2 linked regions of the Ovis aries genome follow. The protein of the gene in region 1 interacts with the protein of each later gene in a biochemical or structural test. Links are inferred from orthologs where the notes say so. Each region holds a gene or a part of one and is shown on either strand. Other genes may lie near its edges.

Evidence for each region.
Region 2: the proteins of GJD2 (region 1) and LNX2 form a complex in vitro, tested with the Homo sapiens proteins (2 studies listed by BioGRID and IntAct, with this or other methods). The link is inferred for Ovis aries from reciprocal best matches to the Homo sapiens genes GJD2 and LNX2.

The regions. Positions count from the first base shown.
Region 1 is NC_056060.1:28,434,892-28,439,399, forward strand, and holds the start of GJD2 (gap junction delta-2 protein), read right to left. Parts: upstream 3,005-4,508; 5' UTR 2,721-3,004; coding exon 2,650-2,720; intron 1,625-2,649; coding exon 730-1,624; 3' UTR 1-729. UniProt on the Homo sapiens protein: One gap junction consists of a cluster of closely packed pairs of transmembrane channels, the connexons, through which materials of low MW diffuse from one cell to a neighboring cell.
Region 2 is NC_056063.1:32,654,636-32,658,447, forward strand, and holds part of LNX2 (ligand of Numb protein X 2), read left to right. Parts: intron 1-1,602; coding exon 1,603-1,829; intron 1,830-3,271; coding exon 3,272-3,471; intron 3,472-3,812.

The sequences.
Region 1 (4,508 bases):
AATCCCCTCCCTCCCACCCAACCCCTGCCCCTAATAAACAGCACCAGTGCAGTTTGAGTTAGAAAACTGGAAATACTGAGACATTCCTAAGGTTTTCATAATGACTAAGGGCCAATCAGATGGGGCTGTGGTGCAAACCTATGCCATGGCCATTCTCTGAAAAGCACCCCACAGAATTCCCTCTAGCTTGCAGATAAACCATATTAGGTCTACTGTAAGGCCAGATTGAGGAGAAAGCTGGCATGCTGTCCTGGGTTGAGAGAGAGGGGCATGCTGATGGGGGAGGTACATGAAGGATGCCTCAAGGATGTTTGTCCTGCAGCCCAGGATGAAGGGATATATTGAGATAGGTCACAAATTTTGTACCAGTAAAATAGTTGACTCATGCCATTCACCAGAATACAGAGCTTAGCAGAGCTAAGTCCTACTTGGTAGCTGTTCAAGTCCACTATGATCAGGATCAAACTGGACCACAGAAGAAAAGGGCCCAAAGGAGTCCAACTATCCATCTCATCACTCTGTCCAGGTGTCTCTGGAACCAGTGGTGTGATGTGGTAACGATTCTACTTTCCCTCCTCTCCTATTGATACAAGATCTTCTCTTAACCAGCCTCATTCAATATATCTCAATGATGACAGTCACATAAATGAGGGCGGATAGAGCCACCCTCCACAGTCATCTGCCTTGGGGCTACTTGTCATCCCCTAGGCCTTCCCAAAACCTGCCCTTTCACACATAGGCAGAGTCACTGGACTGAGTCCTGCCAAAATTGGGAACACTGACCCGGGGCAGGTCCTTGTTGCGGATCTCATAGACTGACTTCCTCTTGGCCTGGGCTCCTCGCACAGCCAGCTTGATCTTGCGCCATCCCAGGTGGTTGAGTTCAGCCAGGTTGAGCACAACACAGATGCCGCTCACTGCAAACATGAACACTAGAAAAACAGTCTTCTCAGTAGGCCGGGACACATAACATTCCACCTCCTTGATACAGGGGTAGCGGTCACATTCATACAACCCCGGGACACTGAAGCCATACAGAAAGTATTGGCCCACCAGAAACCCAATCTCCAGGGCATTTCGGAATACCACTTGGATAATGTAGAAGCGGGAGATGCCTTCCTGCCTTCGGAGCTTGGATCGAGCTGCAGTGCGCAACCCTGATGGGTGTGGGGTCAGCTCCTTCACCTCTAAACAATCTGGCTCCGTCTCCTTGCTCGTGTTCTCTGTGTTCTGCAGCACTCCATTAACAATGGCATTTTGCAACTTCTTATCTTCTCGTTTGCCACCACCACTGCCCCCACCCCCAGTTCCTCCAGGACCCCCCATGGACTCAGGAGGATCTCTGTCCAGAGCCAGGAAGACAGTAGAGTAGCGGCGTTCTCGTTGCTTTGCAGACTGGTGCACAGAGTAAGTGATGAAGCAGAGACTGGGGGTACACACCATTATGATCTGGAAGACCCAGTAACGTATGTGGGAGATGGGGAAGGCGCGGTCATAGCAGGCCTGGTTACAGCCGGGCTGCAGTGTGTTGCATACAAACATGGTCTGCTCATCATCGTATACCGTCTCCCCAACAATGGCCACAATGAGGATCCGGAAGATCACCACCACAGTCAAGAGGATCCTGAGCAGGGGAAAAGGGAGGGAGAGAGGTTCTCAAGGGTTGAGTCACTGACTCAATAGAAAAGCCCTATTGCTCAGTTCCCAGTTCTGTCCTTGACTGGGGAGCTATCCATCCAGAGTGGTCCTGAACTGGGAATTCAGCAAACCTTTTTGGTCTCTTCCCCTTCTGCTGGGTGTTGGTAGTCTGGGAACACTTCATACTACAGGGATCTTAAGCATGTGCATTTCCATACACTGGACATGGTGTGTTTGCAACAGATCAATTTCATTTGTATACATGTAATGTAGAGAGGCACAAAATATAACTTCCCTCTGGATATGGCAAATGCACATGGAATAGCTGAATACAGCAAATACAAAGTCTACACACAGATTATGTATATGTAAGTACTCCAACTGGATATTTAGTTTATCCTCAATATGAATACTGAACTTAAGCTTTACATAAACAGATAGTTATAACTATATATACACATATATACATGAATATATATAGTTTATACTATATAGTTTATACAGAGACAAAATGTGTCAGCTGGGTGTGTGGGTTTCTGACACTGTAGGTTTTAACAGGCAAATCAGTTTAGCTTGCTAAATATTTGTTGGGGAAAGATATATCTGCTCCGAAGAGCAAATCCATCTCCCCATTTGCCCTTCTCTGTCCAAATACAATCCTGCCTTCTTTGTAGATTCTATTTAGGGAACTGGATGAAGATTGGCTCTGACTCCGGAGAGTGGGGGTACCACGACTGAGCCAATAACTCCTTTGCTAATGGAAGAAAAGTGAATCCCCTGGTGGTGCTTCATAGGGAAGGGATGGATTCCTGATGAGGAGCAGCTTGAGGAGGGGGGCATCACTGGGCGTCAGGCAATCCCTCAATGCTGGGAACACAGGCGCGTGGACCAAGGATGATGGGAAGGAGACAGAGGATGGTCTGAGGGCTGCTGGGGCTCGGTCTGGACGTTAGAAAGGACTCCCGGGGGCCGCCCGACGGGGCCCGCTGATGGCCGGCTCGTCGCCCTTACCTCCCGATCATAGTGGAGTGCTGCTGCACCGCGGCTTCCAGCAGCCTCTCCAAGATGGTCCATTCCCCCATCGCTGTGCATCCGGAGGCAGCAGACAAAGACTGGGCAGCACCGGGCACGTTCCCGCTTCGGGCCCCTCCCCGGGCCGCACCTCCCGACTGGGAGCGAAATGCCCCCCAATTAAAGAATCAAACAAAATTTTTAAAAAATCCAAGATTCCCCCTCTCCCTTTTATTGTACTTAAAACAGGGAAAATGGGGAAGGAAACCCAAGCGCGTCCAACTGATGGGCAGCTGGCGCGGTCCGGAGAGCGGGCACGAACCTCGGGCGCCGTCCGGGGGTCAGGTCTGGAGCCGGGGGATGGCCGGGCGAGGGGCGGGGCGGAGCGGGGGTGGCCGCGTGCAGGTCCGCGAGCTCTCGCCCGCCCGAGCGAGGTGTTTGAGCGCCACTCACTCCCCGGGGTTAGGGGCCGAGGAAAGGTCCGGGCACCAATCCCCGCGCCTGGCACTTCAGCGGGCACCGGGCGCTCCCGCGCTGCCGCCTGCGAAGCCGGGGCGGAGCGCGCGGAGCCGGTTGCAGGGCTCGGGAATCCGCGGCCGCCGCCTCTAATCCGGCCTTAAGTAGTCTCCGCCTGCGTCACGCCAGGTCGGCGGAGGGGAGCCGAGCGCTGCGTGCGGCTGTCGCTGCGCGCCGGAGCCCGAGGGGCAGGGGACGCGCGCAGGGGGAGAAGGGGCCAGAGTCTTGGGGCCCGGTGGGGACTGGGGCGACTTCGAGAGGAAGGATCGCTGCGCCCCTCGAGGCTTCTCGGGGCGCCCAGGTAACCTCACCTGACCGCCAGCCCGGGGCAGGAGGAGGGGGAGCCGGGAGCCGACGCGTGGGTGAGTGGGGAGGGCTGTGAGTAGGGAGTTTAGCGTCTCTCCCTGCATCCCTCACCTTTTGCTTTCTGTGTTTGGTGATGCAACTGAAATTCCCTCTCTAAATGGAGATGCTGGTTGGGGGAAGGAAAGCGGGGGCAACAATAGCACGTTTTTCAGTCTCTCATAAGAGAGGACTCCGTGGCTTAAGAGTGAGTCTGCGGTCGGTGCCATCGTGAATCCGATACAGGAATGAGGAAAGCTCGATGAGTGTTCATTTAGGCTGAAGCTTAAATGTAGGAGTGAAGCTGTCTCTGAGGATGGGGGGTTTGAGCACAAGACTCCCTACCTAAGTGCCTGGTTTGAGCGAGTGGATGGCCATGGTTAAAGGACTCGCTTCCCCAGCGCAAACCCAGACGCTCTGCTATTCTGTATCTATCTTTTACTTATTTATTTGGAGGAGTGGGTGCTTCTCGGGTAAACTGCGAGCTAATCGGATGATAAGGAAGCTCAGTATTCAACTAGCTAGAAGAGCCACTCACGATCTCACTCCACCATCACTTTTGTTTTCCAACCTTGGCTTTCTATGCTGTCAACCAGCAGCTCCTGGTTTCTGTTTTTAAATTGACATATTGCTGACAGTTCTCTCTGGAGCAACTGCTTAATTGGTTACAGCTAGAAAATTAAGACAATCACACTGATACTAATTAGCTCAGGGGTCAGTATTAGGAGGGGCTTCCTAGGTGGCTTAGGGGTAAAGAATCTGCCTTGCCTGCCAATGCAGAAGTTGCGGGAGATGTGAGTTCAGTCTCTGGGGAGGAGGAAATGGCAACCTTCTCCAGTATTTCTTGCCTGGAGAATTTCACAGACAGAGGAGACTGGTGGGCTACAATCCATGGGGCCACAAAGAGTCCGACAGGACTGAGTGACTGAGCACGCCTGCACAGAACTAGGTGTTAGGAGACACAGTAGTTGAGTCCCTGTTATATGTATGTACGAAAAGCA
Region 2 (3,812 bases), on another chromosome or scaffold:
TTCATATTGTTTGTATTTCCTCTTCAATTCCTGTTCCTAGTTCTTTTTTTTAGTCTGTGTAGATATTTGTGTATGATATATGTTTTGAGAACTAAATCTTTACCTATCTTAGTGATAAGTGTTTTTATGATTCAGTTTTTTTGTGTCAGTTTTTTATTGAGTAAAATATTTTAAAAGTGAATTTCAAATTAAATTCTAATTACTTCTCGACAGAAGTAATCTTTTCAGTGATCTAATTATCAAAAATATTCACCAGGCCCTTACAGAAACACTCCGTGGAGCACTGCCCCGCAGTGCAGCTCAGAACATCCATTGTGCCCCTTTTTAGGAAGGTGAAGGGAAAATGAGTCAGGAGAGAGTGCTGAAGAGAGACTTCATAAATACCTTCTCAAGACCTTGAAATCCAGGACCTAAAATAAATCTTCGGTTCATGTGGGAAATTGTATTACTCATACCCTTAGGGAATAGCTTCTAATTTTAATTGAATTCTATACTTTAATTGAATTTAATTCTATACTTAATTTGTTTGAAATTTTAGGTTTTTTAAGAATGCTGTCATTGAATGAAAGGCTGCAGTCCTGAACACAAGACTGTCGTCTACCCTGCCCCACCTTTTCTAAACTTCTCCCCCCAGCAGGAGAGTCGGTGGGGTCTGTGGAGTCGTGTCAGGGTCTGGGGCTGTGTGCCTGGCTCTCTCCTTCACAGATGCCCGACTCCTCCTGCTCACTCCTCAGACGGCATTCATTATACATCCTGTGTCTTGTCGAGGCGTCAGGTGGAAAAGAGCTGGCATCTTGCAGCATTTCCAGCGTGTGTATAAGAGTTTCTTTAAATGTTTAAACAAGCATGTATCTGCCTCCTTTGTTTGCCTAAATAAGTCAAAACAAGCCAGGTAACAGTTCTTATTTCTTGGTACTTATGGAAGTTTCCCCAGAACTTAGAAATACATTCTTTAAATTTCATAGCGTACCTGTAATTCCCCTGTTGCAGCTTTGCTTTTACAAACCAGGAGGTATGTTTTCACCTGCTTCCCTGTCTGTCATCAAGTAGGTAGTCTGAGCCTTGGCTGAGCTTCCTGCAGCTGGTGAAGCTTCATGTGGATCTCTGCTCCTAGCGGGTGAGGTGCAGTGTTGGTTGCAAGAGCAGAAAGGCCAGCAGTGCTCAGGGTCTGAGGCAGGGTGCTGGCGGCATGTGGAGAAAGGCGCTCAGGCGCTCGTTCCCACTACTGCAGTTCAGCTGTCTACCTGTGAAAAGGGGGATTAACTGGAGCCTCAGGACAACCCTCACAGGGCAGAGACTACTGTAGTGCTGTATACTGGGTATGTACTAATATATTCCTAAACACAGCTTCTTACTGAAGTATTCTTTGAGATATACCAAATCCTTGTTTGTACAGATGCCTTGTTTTAAATTTGCTGCATGGAGTGATAAGAACTTAGTTTCTGTGGAAATTAAGATCAGAATTATGTACTGCTTGCGGGTACTTCTAGGTGCTTTTTGCATAGAAGCCTTTGCTGTTGTTTAGTTGTGATACAAACTATTAGTCACCTTTTTTTTTTCCCTTTCACACTGTCTGGAAACCACCCCCTGTTGTCTTTCTAGATGCCCTGGAGCTTCTCATCGGAGAGCTGCCCTAGAGAAACGGAAAACTAGTAAGACTCAGATAGAGATCGAGAATGAAAATGGAACCACTGTCATAGACCTTCCAGCTGCTTTATCACCCGAAACGGACTGCTCAGGGCGGACCCTGACATCGGCATCCCTTCCGTCCTGGACAGAGGAGCCCGGCCTGGACAACCCTGCCTTTGAGGAGAGCCTGGCTGGGGACAGTACGTGCCGCCCCCGCCTCTGTTCTCCACCTTGTCTGAAATCAGGCGTTCCTTCCTTCCTTCCCACCTCTCCCCACTGCCCTCCCACATATGTTGTTTTCCTCTTTAAACAGTTAACATTGAGATATGGTTCACATACCACAGAAGTCACCCATTTAGGGGTACAGTTCTAACAGTTTGCAGCTTAGGAGCAGGACGTGGACCTTAGCCCGAGGAAGGGGACCTTTCCACTCCCTCTTATATTCAGTCCAAGATTCACTGGTTGTTAAACTGCTTCTTATTGTGTTTGTGTTCAAACATTTGCTTATCACTTCTTGACTAAGAAAACAATATCAAGAGCAACGAAAATAATGACCCCGATTAAGTGCCTCTTGTGTCAGGCTCCGTGCCAGACCCTCTCCATCCGCTAACTGACCCAAAACCTGTGTCAGTGCCGTGAGGAGGCTGTATCAGGGAGAGTCTTGAGAGTGCTCGGTCAGCATGTGCGGCCAGAGAAGGACTGGGTGTGTCCCTGACACCGAGGCCACTCCTCTGCTGCGATGCTCTGGTGGCCCCCTCGACTCCCGCCCGCTAGGAAAGCCTATAGTCGTAGCTCCTAGGCATAGCTTGGTGGTTGGCCCTGGGTATTTACTTTTAAATACTTAAATTAAATTACTTTTGAATATACTTTTCTTGAAGAAGTTCCTACAAATTCAGATTTTGCCCGCAATAGCCATAACCCATTTTTAAGACGCTCCCTTTCTCAGGGCCTATATGACTTCCCTCTTACCCCTGTGGTTACCACATACCAGAACTGTCTTTTCTTTATACTACTGTGCACTGTTGAGATTTGTTCCACCCTCCAGGGGCTTCCTTCATAGCTCAGTTGGTAAAGAATCTTCCTGCAATGCAGGAGACCCCGGTTCAGTTTCTGGGTCAGGAAGATCTGCTGGAGAAGGGATAGGCTACCCACTCCAGTATTCTTGGGCTCCCCTTGTGGCTCAGCTGGTAAAGAATCTGCCTGCAATGCGGGAGACCTGGGTTCGATCCCGGGGTTGGGAAGACTCCCTGGAGAAGGGAAAGGCAACCCACTCCAGTATTCTGGCCTATACAGTCCATGGGGTCGCAGAGTCGGACACAAGTGAGTGACTTTCACACATACCACCCTCCAGACTATCTCATCAGTTAGGATGAGGTGATGTTCTCTTAGTACAGTTTCCAGATCTCTGTGTCACCCCTCATGATCTGATACATAGTAGCTGGTTGCAATAATTTACTGATCACCTTTAGGAGAAGAAATGTTTAGATAATCTTAACACACAGATGTTGTTTGTCATTCTGTTTTCTTATCCAGTGGTATTGCATAGCTGTTAATGTAATATGACTTCTTTGCCTGAAGATAATCAACATATAAAATGTTGTTTCTCTTTCCATCTATTTTTCTCTCACTTTTAACTTGGCAGCCACACCACAACCACTTAGCTTACCAGAAGGTGAAATCACCACCATCGAAATCCACCGGTCTAATCCTTTTATTCGGCTAGGAATTAGTATTGTGGGTGGCAATGAAACGCCACTGATTAACATTGTCATCCAGGAAGTCTACCGCGATGGGGTGATCGCCAAAGACGGACGCCTCCTTGCTGGGGACCAGATTCTTCAGGTACTTGTTTTAATTCCTCTGTCAACTTGGCGCTTTCTCGTTCTTACTCATGAGATTAGAACAACATTGTGGTACTGTGGGACCTGAGTTGTATCTAAGTAAGTTTTGCTGCTTTTATATGCAAAGTGTGTCAGAATTTGTTAGCAATTTCTCCCCTTTCCCAAGAGCTGGCTTAGGACAGGTGGTGTTTTCTTAGCCTTAAGCCTGAGGGGAGGGGGAGGTGAGGCTTCTGTGTGGGATGAAGTTCCAGCCTGGCCCACTGTGCTGGCTTGTCCACCTTCGTCCTTCCAGTTCTGCTTAGCCTTTCTCCCCTCTCCTTTGTGAGCCACTGACCACCTTCA